Cricetulus griseus: one gene and its partners. The protein of the gene in region 3 interacts with the protein of the main gene of each other region in a biochemical or structural test. Links are inferred from orthologs where the notes say so. Each region holds a gene or a part of one and is shown on either strand. Other genes may lie near its edges.

Region 1 (2,165 bases), on a different chromosome or scaffold from region 3:
TCTGTCTGTACTCACAGAGAGATCCCTACGTTTCACTTAACAGGAACGAGAAGGCTAAGGGTGTCTGGGCCTGACTGGCAGCTTGGCACAGGGCTGCCATGCTCCAGCCTTATCTCCTGATCCATTATCTCTCTTGATAGTCACCTTCCAAGAGTGTCACCAGCACCCAGAGCAGGCGGGCAGATGGCTCAGTACAATTTAAGCGTTTTGCTTTTCTGCAGATTTTGGTCGATTTATAAACTGCAGGCCTAGGGAGGCGGCACGGAGCATCAGGCGTTCCCCCAAAGCAGGTTTTGGTTGCCGGAGGACATTCCCGACTATTTCAGAAGAACTTGGTGAGTCTTCCCCCACCAATCATATAGCCAATATTTATTATACAGCTTTGGATTTCACAATGACATTTTGATTCAAGCATATTATGTAGTTTGACCTTTCTAATTCCTTCATTAGTCTTCCCTGCCCTCCCTGCTAGAGCCCTTCCTCTTTCTGGTTAGATCCTTCTACCTTTATGACACATAGATATATGCACATGTATAGATACATCTTAAGCAATCTTAATGATCTCGAAGCCCCCCACAGCGAGTCCTGTGTTCTTCAAATCAACCAGCCTCATTTTTTCTTTTCTTCTCTCCCTTTTCTCTCCCTCCCTTCTTCTCCTTCTCTTCCTTCCCTCTCTCCTTCTTTCTTTCTTTCCTCTACTTCTCTTCCTTCCTTCCCTCCCTCCTTCCATCTTTTCTCCCCTCTCCTCCTCTCTCCTTCCCTCATCTCCTTCCTTTAGTTTTCTTTTTTATGTGTTTATTTTAAGATGGGGCCTTATATATCCCAGGAAGGTCTTAGGTTTACCCGGTAGGCAAGACTGGCCTTGAATTCCTGACCCTCCTGCCCCCAACCCCCAAAGTGCAGGAATCATAAGTGTGTTCCACCTCAGATATCTTCTTAAATAAATTGGAAATCATTTCACTTCCTTCACAATTAGTAGAGGCCTCTCGGGAGAAGAGGAAGCCCAAAGAAAGACAGCACCTGAGAGAACTTTATCTCAAGTACCCCAAGGCTCCGCCTAGTCCCCTGGGTGATGAGGGATGGGAAACAAAAGCCCTGGCCTCTGGGTTAGAAACAGCTAGGTTGCTTACCTCACCACAAGCAACCAGCTCCCGAATTTGATTTTTGAGAGGAACTGTGGTTTGAAAGAAGAGTTCTAGCTTTTTTTTTTTTCTTTTTTTTTTTTCTTAGCTCCCCTGAGCCGTGCTGTGCTCCTCTAACTGTGCTCCCCGACTCCGGAGTCGGGGCTATTTCTGGTGTTGGCGCTGCTCCAAGAAGGCCATCACAGCCAGTGCCCCCTACTGTCCCGTAGAGAAGGAAGATGAGCGAGTCCAGTTCAAAGTCCAGCCAGCCTCTGGCCTCCAAGCAGGAGAAGGACGGGACTGAGAAGCGAGGCCGGGGTAGGCCGCGCAAGCAGCCTCCGAAGGAGCCCAGTGAAGTACCAACACCAAAGAGACCTCGGGGCCGACCAAAGGGAAGCAAAAATAAAGGTGCTGCCAAGACACAGAAAGCTACCAGAGCTCCAGGGAGGAAACCAAGGGGCAGACCCAAGAAACTGGAGAAGGAGGAAGAGAAGGGTATCTCCCAGGAGTCCTCGGAGGAGAAGCAGTGACCATGCACAGTGCCGCCTGCTCTTTGGCCATCGAAGGAGCAGCTTTCCCTTGGGACTGGAAGCCCTGCTTCCAGGCCCCTCCCCACCCCCACTGCACACTACCGCACCAGCTGCAGGCTCTGGGGGCACCGACCTGAGCAGGATTTGGCTCAGCCCATGTGCTCTCCCAAACACACCTGCCCCCTCCCGACAAGGCTAACTTCCCATTTAGCCGCAGCCTGTGGTGCTGCGCACCTCTCTTAGAGAGAGTGGTCTCTGGGCTCTTTGTTTTGCAGGCCCTTTCTGCTCTGCTCTTCCCGGCTTCCTTGTAGAGGGAGGGTCCTGAGAGCATTCCCTGGCTTTAAAGGGCCGCAGCCCCATCTGACAAGTCCCATTGACTGGCCTAGCATCAGGTGTGGTCAGTACTGGGATGCTTAGATCCCAACATGCCCTCCCCTACCAAACTGTCACCAGGTGGGTTTCTCAGCCACTTCTGCCCCACCTTACCTAGGCCCTGACTAGGTTGGCTAGAGCC
Region 2 (2,820 bases), on a different chromosome or scaffold from region 3:
GCAAAAATGTCCATTGAATCCACAGCATTCTCTGCAGCAGGCACACAAGGCATGCCCCTTGACAGGGCAGGTATGCAGCCATCCCTGGCAGGCTGAGTGTAGTCACGTGGTTGCCCAGGGAGAGAAGTTGGGGGGTGGGTCCAAATGTTACTCCACCCACGATGAGTTTCACAGGTGATACCATTTTTTTGTACCCATGCTCTGAACCAGTGAGGCATAAAGGTATGGGGATACCAATATATTCCTTTATTGGAAAGATAGCAATATTGGAGGAGATGACGTAGCCCTGGCGTCTTTCCGTTGATTCCCACCAGGGTGATGTCCCATCACCAGCCCTGCCATCTCTGATCACAGGTTGACCTTCTCAGAAGGAATCCAGAGTACAGACAAAACTTCTGCAGACCCCCTGACTGTTCTCATCCCTTCCTTCCCTGCAGGGTGGAGGCAGGTCAGACCAGAAGTGTCTCTACCCACACAACAGAAGGGCTTCAGTAGCTGTCTAGCCTGCATGGATGATGGGCCATGGAGCCTCACTCCACATAGCCCAGCCATGTGCTCAGTGACATAGGCAGACATTTGTCAGTCCCCTGTGGACCGCTGCTGAAGTAAACATACTCCCTCTACAGAGACAGGTATTCCCTTGTCCTAGTGACTGGAGGTCAAAGAACGCAGCCTGGACAAGGTTATAGCCTTGTGGCTACAGGTTGAGAATCAGAGTCCCTCTGGTGTGAACAGTGCCTTGGAGCCAAGGCCCCATGAACACCTGGCATCCAGATCTTTTGAAGGTGTCTACAGGTTTGCATGGTGCCAGCTATGGTAAATGATGGGCCAGTGGGCTCATGAGATTACAGGCCCCTGTTTTTGAGTTTGTCAGAGTCAATAGGAAGAAACACCCATTTTTGATAACTCCCTTGAATCATTCCCCAATTCTTTGATTGGTGTGACATTTTGCAATAGCAGGTGAGTGGGCAAATGGCTCAGAACACACAGACCCCACCACAGCCAAGGCATACGCATGTCTGGACATCATCCCTGGTACCCTCTGACAGTCATCTCCACCTTACATGCTTGTTCCCACTAAGAAGTGGCCTCCCTTAGAGTCAATCCACCATCTTAGTGTAGACCATTGAAGCTTAGTTTTACTCACACCATTAAAAACTGGAGAGCGGTCTGGGAACCTCAGACCATCTGAGTTGGGAAGCCGCAGCAACTTGATAAGGACTTCCTAGTCCACAGGCCTTGTTGGGGTGGAGTGGCCCACTGATCACACCTGGCTTTGGATGTGCTGCCAGTGGCAGCGTGTCCAGGGGAAGGCATACATGTAGGTGCCTTTGAGACTCTGTGTCTTCAGAAGAAAGGGGAAAGAAAAACTCCCAATACATAGGCACAGCATAACTGGCTTGGCCAACTTTTCTTGTAAAGGCAACTGGGAAAGATTTTGTGCGTTCACGAAGCAGCCACAGATGGCAGCCAAAGGCATGACTGTGCTCAAATGAAACTTTATTTACAAAATCTGAAGGTGGACAACAGCAGCCCCTCAGCCATGGTTTGCCAAGCCCTTAGGTAAACTGGGCCTGCCATCATCCCTGAAGATTCTCATTACAGCTTGGGGATGGCAGAGAAAGTGTGTGGAACTCAGAAACGTAGTTTTAATTTGAGTAGGTACACATGGTAAATCACTCCTCAGATGCAATCAGTGCCCTCCTCCTCAACCTTGATACAAAAAATCTCATATCCCACACATACCTCAAAGCAGGTGTTCCGTTCCTCAAAGGATACCTTCAAGGCCTCTGAAGGGTGCACAGTAGGGGTACTGAAGGAGCTAGTATGACCACCATGCCAGCAGCACGCCCACTGGGGATCTACCTAGTGGAGCTGAACAGTCACAGGCAAGACCTGGTAGGTAGCACAGGAACCTCAACCCAGAGCCAGACTGACAGTGACATTTCTGCTTTTCAGGTCCCCATCCTCATCCCCTGCCACAGGGTGATCTGCAGTAACGGCAGCATTGGTAATTACTCTGGAGGAGGGCAGGCTGTGAAGGAGTGGCTTCTGGCCCATGAGGGCATCCCAACTAGGCAGCCAGCCTGCAAGGACTTGGGTCTTACCGGGACCCGGCTCAAGCCATCCGGTGGCTCCACCAGCTCCAAGCTATCTGGCTGAAATTGAGTAACTGTTTGAGTGACACACAGATGTAACGCCGTGTCGGAATCGGGTGTGTGGTGGTACCACTATATTAAAAGAGCTGGATGTGTCCTGGGGGACTCGATGTGGCTGCCCTTTCTTGTTTCTACATTTTACAGCAGAATGAGTTCAGACGACCCACCCTCGTGTATGTCATCAGTTCCCTTCTCTGACATGGTTATTGTTCTATTTTTAATGCCTATTAAAATGGGGGTAAGAGTGAGAAAGGCCTTGTGAGCCTTAGGGCCCCTTTACATGAAGGGAGATGCATCTGACCCCTGCAGGCAACAGCTAGCCACCTCACACAGTCCACACTACACAGCTGACCCCACCCTAGCAGGACCCCCAAGTCATCCTGCAAGCCACTTATTGTATGAAGATGGCTGCCCCATTTAGTTCCTAACACCCCACCCTTGCTGGCTGGAGGACGGATAGGCTAAGAAATAAATACCGTGTGGAGAGTCTGTGGTGTTTCTCCATCTACCAGGAAAGTGTCTTGCATCCACTGTGGCACTGTGTTCTACAATGGTTAGATAGAAAAAAAGTACCATCTTCCAAAAATGATTTGGAATGCTGAATAGCACACAGGACATAAATTTGACTGGGCTGGTGCCCTTCTAGGCATTCAAGTCACCT
Region 3 (3,520 bases):
GTGAAGTAGTCAATCTATAGGGGTGTTAGTGGGTGACAGAGAGGGAGGGCACCAACATGCCCAATTTGCTGAGAATAGAATCGACTAGTCCTTAGAAAATCTGTTATTCATGGGTCCTTTCTGTGCATCTGCTACTCGGGGAAGTTTCAATGCTTACATTCAAGTGAGTAGAGTCACCCTGGACATTTTATCCAGAAGGAGTTCCCAGTTGGGAGTATTAGGCTATCTGTATTACAGGATTCAAACAAAACAAAACAAGACAAAACAAACCAACAACAAAAAGACCAACCCACAATATTAATAAAGATAAAAAAAAAGTACTCACACTGCTTGGGGCTCCTTAAATTTCCCTACTTGCTGAATGTGGTACATGAGGTCCCCACCGTTGACATATTCCATGACGAAGTATAGCCGGTCCTGTAGACCAAGGTTCACACATGAGTGGTGAGTGGGGCTCCTCCCTCATGAGCAAATACGGGGTGGCACTGGCAGATCTGCTCTTCTGGGCACTCTTCCCAGTCTTTTCCCGGTGATGCTGGGGGATACACAACTCACCCTATGGCATGGGGCCCTGGGAAAGGTAATGCCCTGTAACAATCCTATGGCTGTGGGTGATGGCTGTCTGAGAACACGCCTGCTTCCTGGCTTCATATGAGCTTTATTACCATAAGGGCTTCATTCACCCCCATCCCCCCTGTACAGATGATATATCACTAAGCTGGTGGTGGTGCGGAGATTCCACATGGGCCCATCATTTTATCTTAACCTCTGTTATCGATGGTGCACATGTGTAAAATCTGGCTTGTGACATCTAGGAGGTATGCCATGCTAATATAGTAACAAGCTTAAATGGATGCTTCTGAAAATATATCTCTTGGGTTAGGTTGAACTCATAAATTATACAAACTTAATGATATTTAGTGGCGGGGGAGGGGAGCACCATAAATGGAAATTTTAATCAATGTTCTTTTGCCTCCATAATGTGTTCCAATATTGCCTTTTTATAAAAATTTTCTCTGTCACTGGTATGCTAAGTGCTGGTCCCATGGAGGGCATAAATCAGGGAGCCAAGTACGTCTGCATATTTATGAGGACATTATGCTGGGACAGATGCGTGAGAGCAGGGAATTTAATGAGGAAATAACCAAGAGCACAACAGAGCACCATAAAAGCTGACCTCTGCTCGAGTCTAGAAAACTCCCCACTTTTGCAGAGGTTACTAAGCATGAAACTGCAGCTTGGGGGAAGGAGAGATGAGGGAGCTGGTGCTGGCGGCCGTGAGTGGCTTCGGAGCTCCACTCTATCTTTAATGACATCTTCATTGCTTTGCAACTTTCCAGGGCTGCACTAGTGTCTGCGGGGTCACAAAGCAGGGTTGAGATTCAGTTCTCTCTCCTACTTGCCACTATCTCTCTGGCACTCCAGGAGAGCTGGAGCAGTGTGTGTGTGTGTGTGTGTGTGTGTGTGTGTGTGTGTGTGTGTGTGTGTGGTGTAGCAGCGGGGACACTGGGGCAGGAGCTGACCAGTGTGAGGCTGACACACAGTGGCCAATGCTGGCTCTGCAGCCTCCACACAAGCAGTGCCCACAGGGATGTCCCATTTTGAGACTCTGCCCATCCAAAGGCATTTAAGGTGTTTTCTAAGATTTTAAAAGGGGAACATAATCATGGATCCATTTCTGACTATAGGGCAGCTATAAAGAAGATGACAGATAATGACAGCTATTGGAGGAGTGAGACCTGACAACTGTACCTCATTTAAAAGGGGGCTTGGAGGTGGAGAACACCTGTCACATTGTGGTATGCATTTATTTGTTTGTTTACTTATTGAGACAGGCTTCTCTGTGTAACGGTCTTGGCTGTCCTAGAACTCACTTTGTAGACCAGGCTGGCCTTGAATACTGGCCAAGATACTCCATTTCCTAAGGAGCATGTCCCTGTATAATGAATGACACAGCAGGAGTAGCAAGCTATGCCCTGTCCTGCAGCCCATGAGCTGTAAAAAAAAGTCACAAGAAATAATATTTTCTGGCATGTGAAACTCAGACTTTAGTGTTCTAAGGACAAAGCCACGTCTGTCCACTTCCCTGTCACCTGCAGCCACATCCCCACTGTGATGAGGAGTTACAAGATGAGTTACAGTAGACATGCAAAACCTATATCTACTCTCTGACCCTTTTCAGGGGAAAAAAAGTCCTCATAAATGGCCCTAATAACACTGTGACCTTTGTCACAGAGTAAAATTAAAAAGAAAAAAAGTTCATATTACAAAGGCACTGTAGGGCTTTCCATCTACCACAGAAACATACACATTAAGATATACCACAATGAAGCCAGGCGTTGGTGGTGCACTCCTTTAATCCCAGCACTCGGCAGGCACAGGCAGGTGGATCTCTGTGAGTTCGAGGCCAGCCTGGTCTCCAGAGTGAGTGCCAGGATAGGCTCCAAAGATACACAGAGAAACCCTGTCTCGAAAAACCAAAAAAAAAAAAAAAAAAAAAAAAAAAAAAAAAAAAAAAAAAGATATCCCACAATGAGTTGGGCTTGGTGCATGCCTTTAATCCCAGCACTTGGGAGGCAGAGGAAGGCAGATCTTTGAGTTCGAGGCCAGCCTGGTTTGCTAAAGAAGAAGACAGGGCTGTGAATTTATGGCTGTTTTGTGTAAGTCCTAGCATAGGGCTTGCATGGAGAAGACCTTTCTCATACAGCCACTTCTAGGACCCTCATGGACACCCAGATCCGCCCATGTGCAAGCCCCTTATTTAAAGTGGTTTAGTATTTGCATGTAATCCATGCACATTTGCCTACTGAACCCAAATCACCTCTGGATTACTTATATCTAACATAACGCAATGAGGGATGAATAGTGGCAGCCTGTCCCCAAAGGAAACTGAATTTAATCAGCAGGGTAAGTGGGTGGGTCTTGAGACCATGATTCAGCCTCCAGGTAAGAGGGGGTGTCTGAGAGAGAATCCATTGTTTTACCACTGTCTGGAAGCAGGAGTGCAGCTGGGTCAGGAACGGGGGCTTATCCAGCAGGGCCAGAACCCGCTTTTCCACCATGGTGCACTCCACGTCATCATCCTGGATCACCACGTCCTTCTTCAGGATTTTGATGGCATACAGTTCCTCTGTTCCCTTCCTGTCAGCGAGCATCACCTGGGGGTGGAGGGAAGGAGAGAAGGCTCAACACTGGTGGGCAGTGGAGTCTGGGAGTGGGAGTGGAGGTTGTGAGGAACAAGGGCAGGAGACCGTTCAGCAACCCATGGTGCAAGTCTGAGAGTGTGAGATGAAAAACATACTTAGCCATTTTGATATGGTTCCATTATGGGTAGCAGCGCTTACGGTCCACATGCAGAAGTCTTGGTCCCTGGTGTGGCAATAGTGGGGAGTGGGAGTCCCTGGCAATAGTGGGGAGAGGGAGTCCCTGTAGGAACTAAGGTCTGTTCTAGCTTCAGTTCTGTTGCTGTGATACAATACACTGACCAAAAAAAATTAAGGGGGAAATGATTTATTTCAGT
Region 4 (4,274 bases), about 77 Mb from region 3:
CTCGAGCATGCCCAGTCGTGCTTTGGCTCCCAGGGGTTGTGGGCTGGTGGAAGCCCTCGATGGGCCATCTCCTCAGTGCAGGTCAGTTGCCGCCGGCAGAGTTCCTCATCTGTCTCCTTGTCCACCACAAGCAGCTGAGTGTGCCCCTCCACAGCCTTGATCCTCTGTACCACCTGGAATGGGTGGGTAGCAGGACTAGATCAGCAGCCAACACGCTGGGCAACACATGGATAGGGCACCACTTCGAAAGGGCGCCACTCTTGGCAAAGCACGACTCACAGACAGCAGGCAGGGGTTGGCCTGCCAGGGGTGGGCAGCTGGACTGAGAGGCCTGCGAGCTCCACCCCCCACCCCCAGTTTCCAGTAGCTCCCTCCCTCTTCTCCCTGAGCTAGGGCCCAGGCTGCAAGTACTTCAGGATCCTCTTGTGGCATTGCACCAAGCTCAGGTAAGGACAGGAAGGAGATGCCAGGAGCAGCCAGATGGAAGAGTCAGAAACGATTGAGTTGAGCTTCAGGATTTCAGTCTAGTCTATGCATGTGTGTGTGCATGCTTATCTGTATGTGTGTGCTTTTGTGTGTGTGTGTGTGTCTGTATGTGCATCTATTTTAAAGTCTGTCTTTCCGCCTAGGTGTAGGAGAGGGCTACATGGCCCCAATGTGAGTATTTGGGTTTATTTCTTTCTCTGAGATGCAGTGTGAATCTAACACCCAGAAATCTCTAGAACTCCAATTTGCCTCCAGACCAGGACTAGAAACCCATTCTTGCTGCACCTGCAAAGGGGTGAAGAACTAGAGATTCTACCTAAGGTGCCAGAAATATCAGGTAAGCAGGATCCCACTCCAGCAGGTAAGGCGAACAGTAGCAGATACAACAGTGTAAGAGGTGTGGCTTGACAGCCATCTGTGTATCTGGATGGGTGCCTGTGAAGTGTGGAGAGCATGTGGGCTACCATGGATCATGCAGGATGTTAGTTTGAGTTCAAAGGGAGACATGCCCACCGGACATCTGAAGGGCAGGAAGCATTAACAACTGCACCAAGGCCTGCGGCTGAAGAGACGGAATCCCCATCATTACTTCACTTAGTACATGCTATCCTATCACAGATAGGAAGGTCTGACCCACAGCCACCTTCACCTGGCCCCTCCATGACCATCCTCTCTCCCTGTGACCAATAGAACAGGATCCCAGCACCCTGACACCTTTTGGCATGGGAACGGAGCCAGTCAGTAAAATAGGAGTCATGGTTTTACCTCCTATCTTCCTGAGCAGGAGAAAGGATCGAATGTGGCTCTGCGTGAAAGTCTGTAGGGACTAGCACCCCAGAAACCTGCGATAAACAGGTGGATTCCAGTAACTGCTAGAGGCAGATGACACCAACCCTGCAGGTCTCTACCTTGCCTTGTGGGCCAACCTTTGGGCTCCATCCCAAACTCTTCATCACACAACCAAATCCAGTGGTCACTGTAGGTAGAAAGCAGGTTCCTGAGGGAGACAGGAATTCCCTCATGGCCCAGTGAAGTACCACCCTGCCTTCTCCAGGCTCCAAGACTAACCACACAGGTAGGTCATGGACATGCTGGTACCAGGGATCCAGGCAGAAATGGTGGAAGAAGTCTGGGCCCTAGCCAAGGTCTGAGGTGTGTCTACCCCTCAGCAGGATACAGACACCCAGAGGTAAAACCTGAGGAGAGAACAGCCTTCCTCTGGCTACAGAAGGCAAGAGCTGAACAGTGACCTATACAGGGAGGGCCAGGCAGCCTCTCAGGAGGAGGCTGTTTCTGACACCAAGGAAGTATACTGCCATGGTGCTGACTGCCAGACCCAGACATAAGGGCCCATGAGAGAAGTACACCAGTATATCCAATCATGCAGACAGACAGATGGACGGACACACACATACACACACACACACAGCTGGCATACATGTTTGATGTATCCACCCAACCCTAGACACACATTCCAGCACTGACACTGAATGCTTTCATCCTGGAACAGTTGGGTAGTGTGTTCATATGGATGACCCCAGAGAGACCTGCAAGCACTCACACATTGACAGAAAAGCATCTGTACCACAAGGCCACAAGGTGCCTTAGCCACCTCCTCCCCCTCCATGGCACACAGAGGCCAAAACTAGCAGAAGCAGCCAGGGCCCTGGCCAGAGTAGCCGCAGTGCGGCCCCTCCCTACCAGGATGTCCTCCCTCCCCCGCTAGTGCAGGACTGAGCTTCCTCACCAGGAGGCCAGCTGGCCGGCCACGTCCCACACCTCAACACCGAACCCAGGCAGGCCCCTGTGCGACCCTGGCCGGGTCCCACCATGTGGCACGCAGAAGTGGGGGTTGTTGGCATCTTGGCCAGCGCTGTAGGGACGCGCCCCCAGGAGGGTGCCGGGGGGCGGGGCGCAGCGCAGGGACCCACCTGGTGATGCGTCTCGCCCTCTACGTTGACGCCGTTGACCTCAACCAGGCGGTCCCCGGCGCGCAGCGCGGCCGCCTCGGCTGGGGAGCCTGGCTCCACGCGCCGGATGAACTGGCCACGGCGGCCCTTCTCGCCATGCAGGTGGAAGCCGTAGCCTTGCTCGCCGCGCACCAGGCGACACAGGCGGGGCCGCAGCGACTCCTGCGCGGCCATGGCACCCGCTGCCCCCTGGCTGGCCGCGACTGGCCACGGCTCACACCCCCGCAGGCTGGAGCGCGGAGGCGGCGGAGGCGCGGGCGGGAGAGCAGGCAGCGGCCTCTGTGGCTCCCGCTCAGCTCGCGTCGCCTCGGGCTCCGGCTTCGGCTCTGGCCCTGGCCCCTGCTCCTGCTCCTGCTGCAGCGCGCCGCCCCCGCGCCCGCCCCTTCCCCGCCCTCCTGGCTGCCCCCGCCCTAGCCCAAGCCCCGCTAGCTAGGCCCCTGCCTGGGAGCCCAGACCATGGAGCGAAGATTGCAGGGTCACAACCCCGAGCCCTGGGACTCCTATGTCATCCCATTTTGGCCACCCTCCGAAGCACCTTCGCCCTCTGTTCCAGGAACCACTCATAGACACCTGCATACCCTACATTCCCTACATTGAAGAGGTTCCTGAAATAGGGAGCTTAGAGAAAGGACCCCTACACAGAGACCAGAGGGCAAGAACAGGGGCCGCTGCTCTCCCTCCTCGGAATACACCTCTACGCACCGCACCGGGATTGCTCTGGCCGCTCCCTCTTTGCCCTCTGAATTTAGATCCCCAACACAGAGTGCAACAGGCAAAATACAAATTTAAAGAGACATGCCAGTGACTAGGTGACCCCCTGCCCCTCCCAGGAAGTGTTTGTTCACTAAACATCCTGAACCCATAGTCCCTGCTTTTCGGGAACATGAGTTTATCTGGCAGAGATGCAAGGGTATTTGCTGCCTTCCTCTTGACCTGGTATGATCTCTGCTAAGGATGAACTTTGGCTCCTGAGCTCTAGGTGGTGACCAGCTGTCCCATATTAAACCCCACAGGTCTCCCATCCTCTATCCCCCATAAACTCTTACTTTTACACTTGTGTAAGTTCTCACCTGCGGGACAGCAGTCCCTCAGAGAATCACTTATGCATATTCCTATACAGTTACCCTCAGAACAACCCCGGAGGAAAGAGGCCATTTTACAGATCAGGAAACCGAGGCCTGGCAAAGGGAGGTTCTGAACCTTTTTTGGAGCCTAGTACTGTGAGACTGCACTTTGACCTGCAAGTATATTCTCAGGCACATATGGCAGCTGAGATCCAGGCTCACCTACAGTCTGCTTCTCCCCAGCCCACTGCTCCTCACTTACCTGGTCCCCCTGGATCAGGTATAGCCAGTTCATACAATTCCCCATGTGGATAGGAGATGCAGCCCTAGTTCAGTGTTTGCCTCTCCCTCTCCTCTTTCCGGAGCCCTTAGCTGGAGCTCTCCACCTCCACCCAAGCACCAGGACCGCCTCTGAGCAAAATCATAGGCAGCAGCCCCTTGGGTACCCACACCCTAGTGGCTGCCCCTGAAAGGCACTTAGGCTGAAGATACATTGTTGCTCCCTGCCCCCAACCCTCTCTGCAGATTCTGGATGATGCTGCCATAGGCTCTGGCCCAGCTGACCATCTCCATCGGTCGGCCTGCCTTACCCAGGGTTTGTCTGTTTTAGGGTTGGTTTCTCTGGGTCCAGCTTAATGCTGGAGATTGTAAGATAATGTGTATGAACAGTATGCTCACTGTATATCCCACCTGTGTGGAACTTGGAAATTATCCCACAACAACCAGGACTATCCCAGACGTACTAACTGCAACT
Region 5 (3,520 bases), on a different chromosome or scaffold from region 3:
TGCTGGGATGGTATGTGCCGCTACAACCAGCTGGTCCCTCTGACCTTGAGAGGAACATGAGCTAAACAGACTCTACCTCACAGTGCTGTTCCGACAAGTAAGCTTTCTAAGACTGACATAGCCAACCCTTCCAAACTGCCCTCCTGCCATGGAAAGAAGGATCAAGAGAGTTACCTCTAGGATAAGGATAATGCGGCCATTGGCAAGGCCCATCAGCAGGTGAGTAAGGTGGGCATAACCCTCAGGTGTCACTTGGCAGCCCCCCAGTGGGTCCCCTTGTGCAGCATCAAAACCAGCTGAAACCAGTACCAGTTCCGGGTTAAACTGCAGTAAGGAGAGAAGAGACACACAGCATGAAGGCTTTGGGAGGCAGTAAGTGATGGAAACAATGACAAACGAAGGCATGGAAATGCAATTCAGAACCTAGAGGTTATGAGAACAGAGAACTGAAAATAAGGAGCAGACGTGGACAGCCTGTTAAGGCTAGGTTAGGGTTGGGAACACGAACTAGTGCGAAGAGCCGGTAGTTCAGTGGTAGAATTAGTCTGACATGAACCAAGGGCCTAGGCCCATACATCATATATACTAATATGAGTGTCATACACCCCCACTCCCAATCTTAGATACGCACACTGGCAGAACTGCAACTCACACCAGTTCCACATATATACTTGGTTTCTTACGGGGAAAGTAAGACACAGCCACCCCTGCACAGGCACAATGTGCTGCATACAGTCACCACAGTTATAATAGTTATGCACACTCTGCTCATGCCCACAGGGGGCAATCACTTGCATGCAGTTGGACAGACACATGAAGGCTAGTTTCTCCCACCTGTTTATAGTCACATGCATGCAAATCCAGAAGCACACTCCTAAGTCCAGACTGGCAGAGTTGCGTCCTCATGGAGTCAGTCACACACACACACACACACACACACACACACACACACACACACACACACACACACACACGCCCCCAGGTTGGCCACACAGCTAGGCCAACCCGGAGTCAGAGCACTCAGGGAGACCCAACACATAGACATCTGGACCCAGTCAACCAGACATGATGATGATGATCTCACTATAGCCTCCAACACTGAGAAGATCTCTCTCAAGCTATCACAAGACAGCAGTATTGAGTGGCTGGCATCCAGTATCACACCTATCACATATAGAAAGATAACCGGCACTGTGCAACATTATACACATGCATTCAACCTCCTACCTCCCTTGTACACACAGTTTCACAGAGACAGCATCTCTTACGGATACCCTTACAACCATGCCCACACATTGGCAGACTTATCCAGGAGGCACACACATGCATACATACACAGCCAAGACAGTTGCTCACATATAAAATGTCATACAGAGAGGCCACTCACATGCAGCCATATGTGCATGCTCAGACAGACAGATACATGAGGCTGTCACTGCCACTTCTGTCCCAACAGCCACCAAATGACCTTGTATTCAAACACACATGCTGAGGAGGCAGGTAAGTGCTGCCACCTACACAGATGTCACATAATGACCAGAGCCTTACTTACCTCATAGGCGATGGGAAGTACCAGACGATGCCAGGCAGTCAGGTAGTCAGCATCACCCATGCGGGGCCCATTCCAGGGCACATTGACAGTGAAGCCTATACCGGCAGCTCGGCCTACTTGGCTACTGGCACCCTCATCCCCCATGGGGAAGAAAGTGCCATGGTCATACCGGTGCACGGACACATATAATACACTGCCGGGGAGAGGGTAGGATGAGAAAGGGGCCACAATAAGTTAGGGGCCACAAACATCCCTGCAAATATGGTGCAGCACCCTCCCACACCACATTCTGCCCATAGTCCCATCCTTCACCTGGGGTCATCTTCAAACATGTGCTGAGTTCCATTACCATGATGAACATCCCAGTCCACGATCAGGATCCTGGGGAGGGAAATAGCTCCTTTTAGCAGCTAGGAGAGGGAGGGCTCGAGGAGAGGGAGGGCTCTGGCTAGCTAGACTCCTGAGGTCTTCGGAAGCATTTGTTGCTGGGTAGCAGGACCACGGGTATCTTGTGAAAGCACTGGCCATCATTTTAAGACTAAAGGTCTAACCTTGGTTTCTAAGGGCTTTACTATGGGCCTAAACAAGTACTTGAGGCTAGGTCCTAGTCTCTTCTGAGGACTGACTAGGGAATAGGGCTCTGGGACTGGTTGACTAATGTCACATGCCAAACCCTAAGTCTTTTGGAGTAAGTACCGGTAGCCTGGGCTTGGGTTTTGTTGGAATTACCTGTTAGGGATCAGGAATGTAGAATACCCAGGATCCTAGTTTATCAAGCATCTAGATGAAATGATCTGGTGACACTAATACAATCCTCCTGTCTCTTTTGTAGTCAAGTGCTGCCCGGTGGACCCTTCCTTGTTTCTATGAAAGCTCCTGGGGTTGGACCATGGATCTGCCACATAAGACTGAATGGGGGCAGGAGAAGTGTCCAGGTCCCTTCAAAGGTCAGGTTTGGGGGATCAGTGGGGATCTCTTACCGCAGGGCACGCCCAGCAATGGCTTGAGCATGTCGAGCAGCCACAGCTACAGAGTTGAAAAAGCAGAAACCACAAGCAGCATCTGGTTCTGCGTGGTGTCCTGGAGGACGCACTATTGCAATGCCATTCAACACCTGCAGAGAGGAGCAGTGAGGAAGACTGGATCTCTGGCCCTCCCTCTTGGCCTTTCCGTTCTTCCCTTCCCTTTCTCTTGTCTACTCTACCAGTTAGTTGGGGAGTCACTCTGGGATGCTCCTCCCAGCACACTCTCCCATTGCCTCTGTCCACCTAAGTAAGAGCAGGTGGTCCTCTCTTTCTGTCTCCTCAGGACCTCATCTCTCCAGTCAAACTGCACTGGCACTGGCACCCACAGAAGACGCACCTGTCCTGAAAGCACAGCTTCCACGAGGCAGCAGGCAGCCCCTGTGGCAAGCTGCGCACAGGCAAAGGTGCTGGGGCAGATGTAGATGGAGTCAAAGTTGGCACCTTCACGGTGTAGCTCCCGGGTTTTCATCTTTTCTGTGGCCCGAACACGATCCACATACTCGGCACTGGAGACACAAAGGAACAACTAGCCATGAGCACATCCCCAGATAAGAACTTGGACCTCTGTAGGTGAGCAATAGCTCCACCCACCTTAGAGGAGAGCCCCAGGCCCTACCCCTAGAATGTCCCTATAACCTGCACCTGGTCTAGCCCTGGCACAGGGTCTGACCTGTGGCAAGCAAGAAGCTCAGCATCCATGGCAGGCCGCACAGGTAGGATGAGGCAGCGTGCTGTGAGGCCCACCTCCTCCAGGTGGCACATGATCCGTAAGATGCGCTGAGGTGTCTCAGGGTGATGACTAGTAGTGGGGGAAAACCAGAACCAGGGGTTCAGTAACTGAGATGAGTGATCCCAGAACTCATTCCAGCCCTCTGACTACATACTTGTCCCATAGGTTGCAGTGACTCATCATCTTTTCATCATAGACCAGCCCAGTGCGATC

Evidence for each region.
Region 1: of the proteins of Prkca (region 3) and high mobility group protein HMG-I/HMG-Y-like, one has a biochemical effect on the other in vitro, tested with the Homo sapiens proteins (2 studies listed by BioGRID). The link is inferred for Cricetulus griseus from reciprocal best matches to the Homo sapiens genes PRKCA and HMGA1.
Region 2: of the proteins of Prkca (region 3) and Mgmt, one has a biochemical effect on the other in vitro, tested with the Homo sapiens proteins (2 studies listed by BioGRID). The link is inferred for Cricetulus griseus from reciprocal best matches to the Homo sapiens genes PRKCA and MGMT.
Region 4: the proteins of Prkca (region 3) and Slc9a3r2 form a complex in vitro, tested with the Homo sapiens proteins (2 studies listed by BioGRID and IntAct, with this or other methods). The link is inferred for Cricetulus griseus from reciprocal best matches to the Homo sapiens genes PRKCA and NHERF2.
Region 5: the proteins of Prkca (region 3) and Hdac6 form a complex in vitro, tested with the Homo sapiens proteins (2 studies listed by BioGRID, with this or other methods). The link is inferred for Cricetulus griseus from reciprocal best matches to the Homo sapiens genes PRKCA and HDAC6.

Annotation. Positions count from the first base shown.
Region 1 is NC_048596.1:201,330,216-201,332,380, reverse strand, and holds high mobility group protein HMG-I/HMG-Y-like, read left to right. Parts: upstream 1-1,283; 5' UTR 1,284-1,360; coding exon 1,361-1,651; downstream 1,652-2,165. UniProt on the Homo sapiens protein: HMG-I/Y bind preferentially to the minor groove of A+T rich regions in double-stranded DNA. It is suggested that these proteins could function in nucleosome phasing and in the 3'-end processing of mRNA transcripts.
Region 2 is NC_048596.1:63,808,759-63,811,578, reverse strand, and holds the end of Mgmt (methylated-DNA--protein-cysteine methyltransferase), read left to right. Parts: intron 1-1,959; coding exon 1,960-2,163; 3' UTR 2,164-2,319; downstream 2,320-2,820. UniProt on the Homo sapiens protein: Involved in the cellular defense against the biological effects of O6-methylguanine (O6-MeG) and O4-methylthymine (O4-MeT) in DNA. Repairs the methylated nucleobase in DNA by stoichiometrically transferring the methyl group to a cysteine residue in the enzyme.
Region 3 is NC_048600.1:120,938,912-120,942,431, forward strand, and holds part of Prkca (protein kinase C alpha type), read right to left. Parts: intron 3,159-3,520; coding exon 2,985-3,158; intron 418-2,984; coding exon 326-417; intron 1-325. UniProt on the Homo sapiens protein: Calcium-activated, phospholipid- and diacylglycerol (DAG)-dependent serine/threonine-protein kinase that is involved in positive and negative regulation of cell proliferation, apoptosis, differentiation, migration and adhesion, tumorigenesis, cardiac hypertrophy, angiogenesis, platelet function and inflammation, by directly phosphorylating targets such as RAF1, BCL2, CSPG4, TNNT2/CTNT, or activating signaling cascade involving MAPK1/3 (ERK1/2) and RAP1GAP.
Region 4 is NC_048600.1:44,234,660-44,238,933, forward strand, and holds the start of Slc9a3r2 (Na(+)/H(+) exchange regulatory cofactor NHE-RF2), read right to left. Parts: upstream 2,814-4,274; 5' UTR 2,631-2,813; coding exon 2,418-2,630; intron 174-2,417; coding exon 1-173.
Region 5 is NC_048604.1:114,399,671-114,403,190, forward strand, and holds part of Hdac6 (histone deacetylase 6), read right to left. Parts: coding exon 3,462-3,520; intron 3,377-3,461; coding exon 3,248-3,376; intron 3,084-3,247; coding exon 2,915-3,083; intron 2,667-2,914; coding exon 2,533-2,666; intron 1,934-2,532; coding exon 1,865-1,933; intron 1,746-1,864; coding exon 1,553-1,745; intron 325-1,552; coding exon 175-324; intron 1-174.